Linked DNA regions of Canis lupus familiaris. The protein of the gene in region 1 purifies or fractionates together with the protein of each later gene. This does not show direct contact. Links are inferred from orthologs where the notes say so. Each region holds a gene or a part of one and is shown in the gene's direction. Other genes may lie near its edges.

Region 1 (4,604 bases):
AGATACACAGAGCCAGGCAGAGACATAGGCAGAGGGAGAAGCAGGCTCCCCCTGGAGAGCCCAATGCAGAACTTGTCCCAGGACTCTGGGATCACACCACCTGAGCCAAAGGCAGATACTTCTCCACTGAGCCACCCAGGTGCCCCTCTTTGGGCCCCACTTACTTTTCTTTAGAATTCCCAAGCCCTGTTCCTTCCTATACAAAAACCTAATGGTCTCCCAGGGGAATTTCCTTAAGCCCTTCCCTCCCACCTCACAAAATTACACTTCATTAAAAAAAAAAAAAATCAGGGCAGCCCGGGTGGCTCAGCGGTTTAGCGCCGCCTTCAGCCCAGGGCCTGATCCTGGAGACTCGGGATCAAGTCCCACGTCGGGCTCCCTGCATGGGGCCTGCTTCTCCTTCTGCCTGTGTCTCTGCCTCTCTCTCTCTCCTCTCTGTGTATTCTTATGAATAAATAAATAAAATCTTTTAAAAAAAATTTCAATCCCAGGAGAATTTTCTTCCAGCCACACCCCTTCCTCTAAAGTATTTCCTTTAGGCTCCATCCCATCTAAACACTCGGCTCAAAAATCAGCTCCCAGGGATCCCTGGGTGGCGCAGCGGTTTAGCGCCTGCCTTTGGCCCAGGGCGCGATCCTGGAGACCCGGGATCGAATCCCACGTCGGGCTCCTGGTGCATGGAGCCTGCTTCTCCCTCTGCCTGTGTTTCTGCCTCTCTCTGTGTGACTATCATAAATAAAAATTAAAAAAAAAAAAATCAGCTCCCAGGGGAATTCCCCCAGCCCTGCCCCTCCAAACCGTGGTCTACTAAGTCCCACGGCTTCTTTTTAGCTTCGCGGTGACCGCCCCAGTCCCTTCCCGTCCAATTACCTTAGCCCCCCACTTCATTCCCGGGGATACCCCAGAGGCCCCGCCTTCTCTCCGTTGAAACCCCACCCCAGGTAAATTTGCTTAACCACGCCCCTTCTCACGATAGACCCCCGCCCACCCGTCGCAGCCGCTGATCCTAGCTCCACCCCCCTCCTTACAGGTGGCCTCTAAGCCTCGCCTTCCGCCCTGTCAATCTGAGTCAGCCCCACCCAACCCCGCCCCAGCAGGTGCCCGAATGAAACATAAATTGTGTTGTGCGCATGAGCAAGGTGGAGCTCGGAGACGGGAGCCGGCCGGCGGAGCCACACGCCTCTCTCGCAGGGCTAAAGCGCATGCTCTGCCACTGATCCAATTGTTCTCTCAGGCCTGCGGGGTTGGGGAGTCAGTGCGCATGTGCAGCTGCTTACTGCCCGCCCTTCACTCAAAAAATACGGAGTCTGGTGGGCTTGTGCACGTGAGCAACCGCTCGCGGACAGACTCATTCGGGGAGCGGGGGGCGACCCCCGCTCGGGGCTAGTGCGCAGGCGCACTGCGTGCAGGCCATCTTTAAACTCCAGCATTCTAGGGAAGAACGTACCCTTCCCCCACTGGACCGAATGCGCATGCTCGGCCGCGTGCCAACGACGCGTTTCCCTCTTCTGCGCCTGCGCGACCGTGATTCCTCACTCTCGTCTCCCCACCCCCCAGGCCTGGTCGTGAAGGCCGCGAGCTTCGAAAGGGCGGGAAAGGCGGTTGGAGAGGGAGGGGCGAGCGGTTACTCACTCCATGGCTACGGAAAGGAGAGGCGGCGGCAGCCTCAGCTGAAGAAAAGAAGGCGGTAGAGAAGAGCGCAAGCGCGGTGAGCGCGGAAACGGGCCGGGACACGGAGGGGTCGCGGCTACAGAGCCATAGCCGGGGTTGGGCGGGCGGAGATGGCGTCTCGGTAGCCTGAGAGGAGATTGTGATCTGTGGATGGGGAATGAGGCGGCCCCGGGGAGTGGGGACAGATATACAGGGGATGGCGCAGCACGGCCTCCCCGGATCCATCCGCGCCCCGCCCCGCCAGGCCCCAACCGGGAGGCGGGCCTGGCCTCTCCTCTCGGGAATCCTGGAATCCACTCCCCTCCTCCTCCCGACGCGGAGTTAGGCCTTTTCCTTCCTCTGACCCGGGGACCAGCTCCGTCTTCCTACCCCAGGGGTTCCGGCCCCCGTCCTCCTTCCAACTCTGGGGTCCTGTTCTCTGTCTCTCTGACTCAGGTCCCCTCCCCCCCAATTCTAGGGATTCGATCCCTCGCCTTCTCTGAGACCTGCCCTAGTTCACTTTTGGTTTCTTTTGCCCTAGTTCTCGAATTTCCGGCCAGCCACATGCTGGACTCCTATCCCCAAACTGCCGCCCCACGCTAAGAACCCTTTTTGTGGGTTAGACTCTTGTCTGAGTCACAATGAGACCGCGCGCGCCGTTCAAATCTCAGACCTGCGATGGTGGCCAAATAATCAAGTTCTCTAGTCTCGTAGATCGAGAACTGCCTGTAAAATGAAGAAAATAATCAACTCTGCCTGATGAGAATCAAGTCGATGCCTGTGAAACCCAGAGCCCGGCTCTTAATTGCCTATTTAATGTATCTTATTTTTAATAGGAACTCTGGGGTTGAGTCTCAACCATACCTCCTGCCCTGGCAAGATCCCCAGACATTTGACCATACAATAGCTGCTAGTAGGTCATTCTTGTGTCTTCTTCACTTCTTCAAGGTGTCAGTAATTGCCAGACATCCCCACCTTTCCCTGTTCCAGATGATGGACGCTCACCCGCAACACCAGCACAGTTGCAGAGAAGCAGGCATCATCACCCTGACTGTAGCTTTTCTCCATCCTCTGCCCACCTCCCATCAGCCCTTATCCTTAGCCCTCCTTTCAGGCCAGTTGGTTCTGCTTCAGCTGCCCCCCACTGGATCAGTTTACCAACCCTGCCCCAAAATAGGGAGATCTGCACTGCCCTTTGCTAAAAGAGAGGGGGCTTCCTGGCCATTCCCTCCTATGCACTAGACCCTCCACTGGCCCAAGTGGGTATGGGTCTTTACTTCCCACCTTGCATCTGTCCACAGCAGGACACCTAGAGTTCAACTTAACATCACGGGTGGTGGTTCTGAGGTCCAGAGAAGGTGGGGGAACTCTGATCTTGAGACTTATTTGGGAATGAAGATAGCAGGCTTCAGTTGCATGCAGGAAGTCCTTCTTGGGATCTGACCACTTTCACTTAGAGCACTTACTGTGTACTGTGCCAGTATTTGAAGATTTGACCTATAGGGGCTAGGTTATTACCTAGGCAGCATGAGTAGCAGTTAAGTGCAGACTCTGGCGCCCAGTTTTGGGTTCAGACCTTGTCTCTACTCCACTTATTAGCTTACTGTCAATTTCTTTTTTTCCCTGTGCCTCGGTTTCCACTACGTTCAAATCTCAGACCTGTGATGGTGGCTACATTATTTTATCGCTACGTTTCTATTAACTCCATATAGAAACTTAGCGATACATGTGGCAGCTAACAGTGCTTACTTCTGGGGTGCCTGGCTGGCTCAGGCGTGTGACTCTTGATCTTCAGGTTGTGAGTTTGAGCCCCACATCAGAAGTAGAGTTTACTTAAAGAAATAGTGCCAGGCAGCCTGGGTGGCTCAGCGGTTTAGCGCCACCTTCAGCTCAGGGCCTGCCTGTTCCTGGAGACCTGGGATCGAGTCCCACATTGGGCTCCCAGCATATGGAGCCTGCTTCTCCCTCTGCGTGTGTCTCTGCCTTTCCCGGTGTCTCTCATGAATGGATAAATAAAATCTTAAATAATAATAATAATAATAATAAGTAGTGCCTACTTAGTACTGTCACAAGGATTCAATGAGTTAATTCATAATTCAGGTCAAGCATTTAGATTAGTCCTCCTTTCTGCCCCCCCAAATCTTAAGTCTTCTAAAAACATCTAGTATGTACACATGGACTAGGCAATTTAAGTAAATTTTTATTTTAGAATAATTTTATTTTTGGGCAGCTCCAGTGCCCCAGCGGTTTAGCACTGCCTTCAGCCCGAGGTGTGATCCTGGAGACCCAGGATCGAGACCCACGTCGGGCTTCCTGCATGGAGCCTGCTTCTCCCTCTGCCTGTGTCTCTTCCTCTGTGTGTGTGTGTGTTGGTCATGAATAAATAAATTAAAAATCTTTAAAAAAAATTTTTTTTTATTTTTACAGAAAAGTTACAAACATAGTGCGGAGAGTTTCCATATACCCCACATCCATTTTCCCTGTTGTTGACCTCTTTAACATTTCTGTGATATATTTGTCACAACTAAAGAACCCACGTCGGTATGGGATTTTAAAGTGCACACCTCATTTTGATATTCTGATTTCACTAGTTGTTTTTGTTTTTGTAGATATTTACTTTAGAGAGCACAGGCAGGGGGAACAGCAGAGGGAGAAGCAGGCTCCCCACTGAGCAAGGAGCCCTACCCAGGGCTTGATTCCAGGACCTTGGGATCATGACCTGAGCAGAAGGCAGATGCTTAACCAACTGAGCCACCCAGGCACCCCTCGCTAGTTGTTCTTAATGCTGTTTTTTTGTTCCAGGATGCCATATCACATTTAATCATCGTGTCTCCTTAGCCTCCTCTGGTCTGCAGCAGTTTCTCAGACTTTCTTAGATTTTCATGACTTTGGGAGATTTGAAGAGTGCTGGTTGGTTCTTGTATGTGACATCCCTTAATTTGGTTTTGTTTCAT
Region 2 (4,604 bases), on another chromosome or scaffold:
AGAGAGAGGCAGAGACACAGGCAGAGGGAGAAGCAGGCCCCATGCAGGGAGCTTGACGTGGGACTCGATCCTGGGTCTCCAGGATCACACCCTGGGCTGAAGGCAGGCGCTAAACTGCTGAGCCACCCGGGCTGCCCCTAGAAGAGTGTAACTTTAAAGGTTGAAGAGCCTGCATCAAAGGTGGTTGGAATCCTGACTGGACGCTGGAGGGTGGGTGGGTTCGGAGGACTTGAGGAGAGAGGTACAGAGAGGACCCTGGGCACTGCTGGTGCTGTAGCACCCTCCCTGAAACACGGATCCCAGCCTGACCTGACTCAAGGCTTCTGGGCAGCGCTCCATGGACTGCAGAGCATGCCACTCTTCTTCCATCACTTCTTGCACCAGAAGGGTGCTCTGAGCTCTCCTCGGCACACTGCCTCCAGCCTGGCGGTATCTGTTCAGCAGCCTGTCCCGACTGTTTCTCATTCTCTCCAGGCATCCCTGGGAAGGAGAAAGACGGAAGTGAGTTGGCTAAAAAATAATAATAATAATAATAAAAATTCTTAGAGTGCCTGGGTGGCTCTGTCGGTGAAGCATCTGCCTTCGGCTCAGGTCATGATCTGGTACTGGGACGCTGGGGGGGCAGGGGGCAGAAAGAGACAGCATTTCCTCTGTGGAAGCCCAGCGTCGTCCCCCCAGCACCGCCCCCCGTACACTCCCCCCAACGCCCCGCCCTGCGCCCCTCCCTCAACCCCGCCCCCCAGGAGGTGGCGCGGGGGGCGCGCAGGTGCACTCGCGGCGTGTGGGGCCCCGCACGCAGAGCCCAGAGGTTCCGGGGCGCCCGGCCCGGTGCAGGTCCAGCCTAGCTCATCCCGGTCCCCGCCCGGTCCCGCTCCCGGTCCACTGGGCCCGGCGCTCCGGCACCTGCCTCTCCGGCCCGCGGCACGGCGGTTGCCCGGGCGGATCAGGGCAGTGACGGCAGCCCAGCCAAGGCTCCCCGGAGCCCACGCCCACCTGCCGGAAGGCGTCCTTCCACCGCGGCGAGCCCACCGCCTTGTACAGCGAGCGGCGCCCGGAGCCCGGCGCCTCGGCCATCTCTCTGCAAGCGTCGCCGCCAGGAAGCCGCGCCCCCCGAGGGCGCGCAGGACCCTGGGAATTGTAGTTTGCGGGCTCTCCTCGCGCGCGCCCGCGGGGCGTTCTGGGAACGGCCGTCCCATCTGCCAGCCCCGCACGGAGACGGACTGGGGCGACCCCGAGGATGCGTGGCCGCGGTGGCATTTGTGAGGTCAACCCAACCTGGACTAAGGGAGGTGCGTCTAGGCTTAGACTAGTGTCCGAGCGGCAATCAGAGACGCAGGTCTCCGGCTGCGCTCCGAGGGCTGGCCTTCCCGCAGCGCCGCCCCCGCCTGATTGGCGGCCCTCCCCTCCGCGGGCCGCGTGCGTCCGGGCGTTCCGCTCGCTGATTGGCCGGAGCGCGGCCCGCCGGCCGCCGATTGGCTGTGCCCCGCGGCGCGCGTTGTCACTGGGGGGACGCGCGCAGTGGGGCCAAGATGGCAGCCGCCGAAGGGCCCACGGGTGATGGGGAGCCGTGGCAGTCCTGGCTTCCCAACCACGTCGTGTTCCTGCGGCTCCGCGAGGGGCTGAAGACCCACGGCCCGGCCGAGGCTGAGAAGCCGGCGTCTTCGCCGTCGCCCTCGTCGCCGCCGCCGCTGACGAGGAACCTTGTCTTGGGCCTGGGCGGCGATCTCTTCCTGTGGGACGGCGACGGCAGCGCTTTCCTGGTGGTCCGCCTGCGAGGCCTGGGCGGCGCGGGCGACGAGCCCTCCTTGTCCCAGTACCAGGTAGGGCCTCACCGGGGGCCGGCAGCGGAGGGCGCGGGTGTGCCCAGCACGGGTGCCCCGCAGGTGTGCGACGCCGGTGTCAGCGCTCGTCCTCTGGGGCGGCCGGTTCGGGCGGAAGTTGCCTCTTGTCCTCTTGCTTCCGTCCTCCTCATGGCCACTTTGGCAGCCTCTCCCGGGTTTCGTTCCTTCGTCAGAGGTTTGCCGCCTCCCGCACGCTCTCGGGGTGCTGCGGTTCTTGGGGGGCCCGGGGGAGGGGAGGGACCGTGGGAAAGCCAGCAGTGCGGGTACTTGGAAGGAAAACAGGTGAGCGGAGACAGACCGTAGGAGGTGGGTTCTGAGAAACCCGCGGATCGCAGGGACAGTCCTGACTCTCCTGGGGTTGGTGTGAGCAGCAGTCAGGTGGGAGATCTGAAAGCGACCAGTCTCCAGTTTTGTGCCTGACGTGGACCAGGAATCCCTGGTAATTCTTTCTTTTCCTTTCTGGAAAATGAGCCCATTCCCAAAATTGGGAGACAATCTTTGTTTTTCTTTTTAAAGAATTTATTTATTTACTTACTTACTTATTTACTTATTTACTTATTTATTTATTTATTTATGAGAGAGAGAGAGAGAGAGAGAGAGAGAGATGGAGAAGCAGGCTCCCTGCGGGGAGCTAGATGTGGGGCTCAATCCCAGGACCTCGGGTCACGTCCTGAACCCGAGGCAGATGCTCAACCACTGAGCCACCCGGGTGCCCCCAGGTTTGTTTTTGTTTTTTAAAGATTTTATTTATTTACTTATTTATTTATTCATTCATTCATTCATTCATGAGAGACAGGGGGAGAGAGAGAAAGAGAGAGAGAGACAGAGAAATAGGCCCCATGCAGGGAGCCCAATGTGGGACTCGATCCCGGGACTCTGGGATCATGCTCTGAGCTGAAGGCAGTGTTTTGTGTGTGTCTGTGTGTGTGTGTAGGTTTTATTTATCAGGTGCCCCCAGTTTTGCTTGTTTTTGATTAGCTGCTAGCATCTGAAAGCGGTGTAGACAGAAAGCATTCCAGACTTGCTGCAGCGGAACGTTGTTCTAAGGAAATGTGTACTTGTAAGGAAATGTGTACTTGTAATAAATGGATTCTGGCCTTTTAAAGGACTAAAAGATAAAAAGGTGCCCCCACCCCCCATCCTAATGCAGGGCGTCTGTTGTGAGCCACTTGCCGAATCTTGTAAATGAGAAATGATCGGCTTTTGCTAGCTGTGTTTCTGCAGTTTTGAAAACAGGTCACAAGTCAACAATCTACTTTCTGTCAAATTGTGGCTTAGGAGAGTAATTCTCATGTTCAGCACACCCTGTTAGCAGCATTTGGAGCAGGCAAGACTAAATTGATTCATACTTGTCTTCTTTTCTACCCTGTAACCATGGCGGGGGGCAGGGGCTGTCTTTCTTTGTTATTTTTGTATTCCCCCTCCTTCACTGGGTGCTCTCAGGAAATCCTAAAGGACTGTCAGGTGGGAAAGTGCTTAGCAGGAGTTGCAATTTTAAATAATAACAAAAGAATAGTGACTTTAGAAACAAAACCACCTAAGCCCTGTAATTACCACACTTGATCTCAGCTGTTTGGGTTGTAAATAAAGCAGGAGAGGATGGGGATTGAGAAGCCAGGGGAAAAAAAGAACCTCTTATGGGAGAACAACCTTTTGGTTGGAATGGGTGAAGGGACAGTCACCTGAGTGGCTCAACAGTTGAGCATCTGTCTTTGGCTCAGGTTGTGATCCCGCGGTCCTGGGATCGAGTCCCAGATTGGGCTCCCTGCATGGAGCCTGCTTCTCCCTCTGCCTGTGTCTCTGCCTCTCTCTCTCTGTCTCTCATGAATAAATAAACTCTTAAAAAAACAAAAAAAAGGAACAGGTGAAGGGTAGGCTTACAGAGCTCGGTGACAAGCAGCAGAGATCTCAGGGTGTTCAGAATGGTCTTATCTAAAAAGATCCTGGCTGAGGGTGAGGATGAGATACGTTGGCTGTCTTGTGGTGTGTTGGGGAAAGTGGAAAAGACAGAAGATGGTGATGTGGTGGTCAGGAGAGAAGCAGGACAAGCCTGTGAGAAGTACGTTGTTCCGAGGGCTGGTAACGCTGAGAAAGCGGCTTATCAGAACCCCTGAAAACGCCACCACTCCATGGAGCAGCTACGTGGGTACAGCAGCGTTTCACTGGCCGCAGAAGCTCTTGAGGCTGTTCCCTGTCCTGCTGGGCTGTTTCTTTTTTCCTTTTTTTTTTTTTCCAAGATTTTATTTATTTACTCATGAGAGACACAGGCAGAGACACAGGCAGAGGGAGAAGCAGGTTCCATGCAGGGAGCCCGATGCGGAACTCAATCCTGGGACTCCAGGATCACACTCTGGGCCGAAGGCAGGTGCCAAACTGCTGAGCCACCCAGGGATCCCCAACTGAGCTGTTTCTAATGTAGCATCTCAGCTGCCATTTATGAACACTTCTGAGTTCTTCACTACTCGCTTCACTAAAACTTATTGAGAGTCAGCAGGATGCTACATACTATGCTGAGGGTGAGAGAGGAAGACGCATCACAGTTGTGCAGGATGGTCAACTGAAGGGATGACCAGAATGCAAGGTGGTAAGAACCATGATAGAATGATCCAGAGTGTACAGAAGATGCACGCACACCTGGCTGGAAGATCTGGGTGATTGCTTAGGCCGTCTCCCGGACCATGACAGCCAGCCACAAAAGGAGAAGGAAGAGCTGTCGAGAGACACAGGCTCACAGAGTGTGATGGCTTTGTGGAGACACAGCTG
Region 3 (4,604 bases), on another chromosome or scaffold:
TGAAACATTTAATGTGGACCTACACTGTAGGCCTGGCCTTAGGGATACCAGAATAGTTGTGTTTCAGGACTGAAGGATGAGAAATCAAAGTTTCAGTAGGTCTTTGAGGAAGGTACAGTAAACTATCCAGGGAGAACTAATGACTTTCTAATGTAGAACACAGGCAAGGGAGGGTGGAGGAAAGGAAGGGATGTTTGGATGCAGGAGTGGGGGGAAAGTGGCTGGAGTCAGATGTTTAAACTAGCTTTCCTATTTGAACATCTATATATTTATTTTTTCCTTCCTTTGAACACCAACTGAGCACCTACCAGATGTCTCCTATCCATTATCTTATTTCATCTTTACAACCATTCCGCTTCCTAACAAATTAGCCAATTTTTTCTAATTCCTTGCTACCATTGAACACTAAGAGGGATTTAAATTCATCTACTTTTGTGCAGAGCCCATTTCAGTCTTGTATTGATGTTCCAGGAGAAGGTGGTGGTGGAGAGTAGTCTGAATAGGTTTTGCTTTCTGAGCACAGTCCCTGCTATTCTGTGTCAGGACTCTCAGTTACTGGGTCTGGTTTCTAGAACATGCTCAACATTTCCCCTTGTAATACTTCTGTTTTGGACTAGGCCAGGGTGGGGAAGGGAAACCTTTATGAATAAAATGCCGCTGTGACCTTAAAGAGCCTGGGCACAGAAGACAGAAAAGTAAATAATAGGATACAAAGTGACAAAGCTGTAACAGAGGCCTGCCCAACCAAGCAGTAGCCCAACACTCTGAGACAGATCTGGGAATGTATCCCAGAGAAGGCGGGAACATTTGAACCAGGCCTTTAAGAATAAATAAGAGCTCCTAAAGTGCAGGTGGTTAAGAAGTTCCAAGAATACTCATTTGTAACATATCCTACCCTGAGCCATTCCCTTAGGGCATGCTCATAGCGTCTATTCTGGGGATTCAGAGAGGAAAGGTTGTGACGGGGCCGGCATAGGTTGGGAAACCAGGAGGCCAGGTTTTGGGGCCTCAGAGCAGCTGCAGGCGAGCTATGCGGAGAGACAGACCTCCCAGGAGGGCCCTCCAGCTCCGCACGTGGTCTGGCCAGGAAGTACGGGCAGGACTACGGGGAAGCCTTCCCATCACCGCCCGCGGACTGGGGCAACGAAAGGGTAGAATAGTTACCATGCCATCCTGGAGCCTCCCCTCTGATTGGCCCGAGCTTCAGCAGCCTGACTGTCTCGGCTCCAACGCGGGGGGCGGAGCCTCGGCATAGCGTCACCACCCTTCTCCCGCACCCCGCCCAGTGCACACCAACGCAGCCACTCACAAGCCCGCCTCGCGGGGGCCTTGTGTGACGTCACGACTCGCCCCAGCCAATCGCGGCAGAGGGGGCGGGACTCCCTGTCCCTCCCACCGTCCCTCCCATTTCCCCCCCGTAACTCCTCCCGTTCCTCCTCTTCCCCCTCGCTCCTTCTCCCGAAGACCGCCCTCACGTTCGGTTTCAAAAGACCAGTTGCCCAATGAGTCGCAGGGCGGGCCTAGAGTGGCGGGGGCGTCTGCCAATGCGCAGGCAGCGAGGGCGGAGCGCCCGGGGCGAGCCTGTGACGGTAGGCGGCGTGTGACGCAGTCGGGCCCTCTGCGCGCTGCGCCCGAAGCGGCGGTCGGTGGCGGCGGTGGTATCGGCGGCGACGGTTTCGTGGCGGCCGCGCGCTGCTCCCCGAGCGGCGGGTGGCGGACGGGCCTAGGCCTTCACTCCTGACACTTCCCTTCCCCCACCGCACCGCGGTAAGTGGAGAGCCCGGGCGGTGGCGGCCCCGGACCGACAGGCTCCTCCTCCCCTCTGGGCGGGCGGGTGCGCGGGGCGTCCCAGGCCCTCCGCGCCGAAGTCTCGCGCCCGGGCGCGCACCTTCTGCCCCGAGGGAGGGGGCGGGGCCCGCGACCCCGCGGCCCCGCGGCCCCGCGGCCCCGCGGCCCCGAGGCCCCGAGGCCCGGCTCTGCGGGCGCTGGGAGGGGACCGAGGTCCGGGGAGCCAGGGCCCCGGGGTCTCCCGTGGCAGCCTGCGCTCGGGGAGCGTCCATGTATCTGGTGGTACTCATTCATTTGCCTGGCGGTGATTAGGTGGGCGGGCCCTTTGCGGGGGCCGCGTCTTAGGACCCTGAATAGGATCTCCCCAGCGCTTGCTTGGTTGACGGTCGTTCGGGACGGGCTTTAATTTGCCTTGACGTCTCCACGGGGGAGATGTGCAGCCCGGCGTTTCGGATGGGTGGGTCGGGAGTTTGTTAAGCTTTTTAACACAAGATCTGAGAATTAAGATCGATCTAGTGGAGTAAAAGGTTATTTTCTGCCCTCCCACGTGTTTCGTGTAAAGCTAGAGGAGGAGAAAGGTGGGATTTCTGGATTACTGTAGCTTTGGGGAACCTTAGAAATTAAGCCAATCCCCCTATCGTACATCACGTGCGAGTTTTATAGGTGGAGGAACTGAGGTCCAAAGAAGGGACAGGATTAGGATTAGCCTGTACCAGATCCGCCTCAGTCTAGAAATTTTTCTACTGTATCACTCTCCCTGGGTGTTCCATCCTCCTATTATTGAAGGTTCAATTTGGAACCTTTGGGGGGAGGGGGGTGGGGGCTTCGGTATTTAGAAGCAGCCTTCAACAGCGTTTCTGCGTGGTTACCAGTTCTGTTCGTGTTAAGGCAGAAACTTCATCTGCGGGACCCTAACCTAAACCATGAGAATTAAAAAGTTGGGTAAGGAATGTCGGTGATGTAAATGTATTGGAAACAAATGGATAAGACTCCCATGTCTGGCTAATTTCCTATTCCAAATCTGAAATTATTTGTGTCAGCTGCTGGGGACTCAGGAGACAGAATCCACTTAGTGACTCATAAGAGTTTTGGAATAGAAAGCAGAAAATACAGACAAGACTTAGATAGGCAGCGGTAATTTTGTAGTTCTTGTACCTTGGAATTTATGGCTCCTTCCTGACAGAATTCAAAGTATTGTAGTGGGAAAAGGTGAGGAAATGAAACCTCTCTTTGGAAGCAGAAACTAACTGGAAGAAAAGAGCAGTGATCATCCCCTGTGACGACAGTCTTAGAAATTCAGCTTGTTAACTGGGAGACAGATGATCTATTCACTTGATGGAAGAAGTTAGGAGATTTAAAAAACAAAACCAGAACTGGGACAATTTGCAGGTACTGGGAAATACTTTGACAGAAAAAAAAAAATTTTTTTTTTTGACTCTTCATTAAGATTTGAGGAAATTGAGTTAAAAGTTGCCACTTTGGTCTGTTCACACTGGTCATATCACATGTTCTTGTTTAGATGACAAAGCAAAAACTGAAAACTAGTGTGTAAGAGCAGAAGAGAACGGTAGTCTAAACACAGAAATGTGAAGAGTATATTTTCTGTGACATTTTCTCAGTTCAAGCATCACCCTCTTCTGGGAAGCCTTTCCTGGCATTCTGTCTCCAGCAAGCTTCCATAACACTTATTTGATACTTCTATTTATAGCACACATCATTTTGTATTTTAGCTGTTTATCTTATTAGACTGTGGTAAAATATTTTTATCTTTTTAAAAAAATTATTTATTTATTTTAGAGAGGTGGAAAGAGAGAGAGAGGGAGAGGGAGAATCCAAGCAGACTCCCTGCTGGTGTGGAGCCTGACTTGGGGCTCAAGCTCACAAACCTGAAATAATGACCTGAGCGAAATCAAGAGTTAGATGCTTAACTAAGTCACCCAGGCACCCATTTCTTCTCTTTGTATTCAGATTGCTTGCCACCTAATAGGCGTTCAGTGTTTACTTGAAGGGATAAATAGGGAGCAGGGAGCAGCTAAACCTAAAAATTGTCTATTAAAAGACTGATTATATGTGTGTTCCTGAAATATGGGGCCTAGATAAGAGGACTTACACCGTTCATATGTTTCGTGGTACTTTGGTACCTGACTTTATTCATGTCTCTACTAGTTCCTAGATAGTTGAAATCAAGCTTTTAGGGAACCAAATTAACAGCTCGGAAGAAATTGAGTATATTATTTTATTGTGATATTTTTATTGTAGTAATTAACCTAGGAAGTAAGGGTTACTACTAATGTTTAATTTCCAACAGAGTGCACATCTGTGATTATGCAGTTTGTTGAAAGGTTAGGGGCGGTCTAAGACATTTTTGGAGATTTAACAATATAGATATTAGAGTTAAGGTACCTAAACATTGTTTCTTAAGAATTTGGTGCGTTTCTTTTGGTTAGGAATTGAACCTAAGTATTTGGCATAGCATGTCTCTACAGAAGATTTTTCAGCCTCTGCACTGTTATCATTTTGGGGCAGGTAATTCCTTTTGTCTCAAAGCTATGTTTTGTATTGTAGGGTGTTTAGCAGCATTCCCCACCTTTACCCATTAAATATCCATAACACCTCCTCCCGGAGTTGTAATAATTTGGAAGGTCTCCAAACATTGTCAGATGTCCACCAGGAGGCAGAATTGCCCTGATTGAGAGATGACTGCTTTTGAGAAAACATTGCCTACCAATCTTTCATTAAATCATACCTTTATCTTGCCTGGTGTATGCTTGTCAAGTCAGCTAATAAATTGTGTCTTGTTAAAGTGTCCTTGAAAA

What was found.
Region 2: the proteins of NUP62 (region 1) and NUP88 purify together in Homo sapiens (co-immunoprecipitation; 4 studies listed by BioGRID and IntAct, counting the BioPlex papers as one, with this or other methods). This does not show direct contact. The link is inferred for Canis lupus familiaris from reciprocal best matches to the Homo sapiens genes NUP62 and NUP88.
Region 3: the proteins of NUP62 (region 1) and NUP98 purify together in Homo sapiens (affinity purification with western blotting; 3 studies listed by BioGRID and IntAct, with this or other methods). This does not show direct contact. The link is inferred for Canis lupus familiaris from reciprocal best matches to the Homo sapiens genes NUP62 and NUP98.

The regions. Positions count from the first base shown.
Region 1 is NC_049222.1:107,310,718-107,315,321, forward strand, and holds the start of NUP62 (nuclear pore glycoprotein p62), read left to right. Parts: upstream 1-1,575; 5' UTR 1,576-1,708; exon of another isoform or gene 1,709-1,926; intron 1,927-4,604. UniProt on the Homo sapiens protein: Essential component of the nuclear pore complex. The N-terminal is probably involved in nucleocytoplasmic transport.
Region 2 is NC_049226.1:31,570,261-31,574,864, forward strand, and holds the start of NUP88 (nuclear pore complex protein Nup88), read left to right. Parts: upstream 1-1,503; 5' UTR 1,504-1,529; coding exon 1,530-1,820; intron 1,821-4,604. Other genes in the region: RPAIN (RPA-interacting protein), read right to left, coding at 310-480, 994-1,257. UniProt on the Homo sapiens protein: Component of nuclear pore complex.
Region 3 is NC_049242.1:26,465,005-26,469,608, reverse strand, and holds the start of NUP98 (nuclear pore complex protein Nup98-Nup96), read left to right. Parts: upstream 1-1,608; 5' UTR 1,609-1,767; intron 1,768-2,711; exon of another isoform or gene 2,712-2,730; intron 2,731-4,604. Other genes in the region: PGAP2 (post-GPI attachment to proteins factor 2), read right to left, coding at 1,165-1,253. UniProt on the Homo sapiens protein: Plays a role in the nuclear pore complex (NPC) assembly and/or maintenance. NUP98 and NUP96 are involved in the bidirectional transport across the NPC. May anchor NUP153 and TPR to the NPC.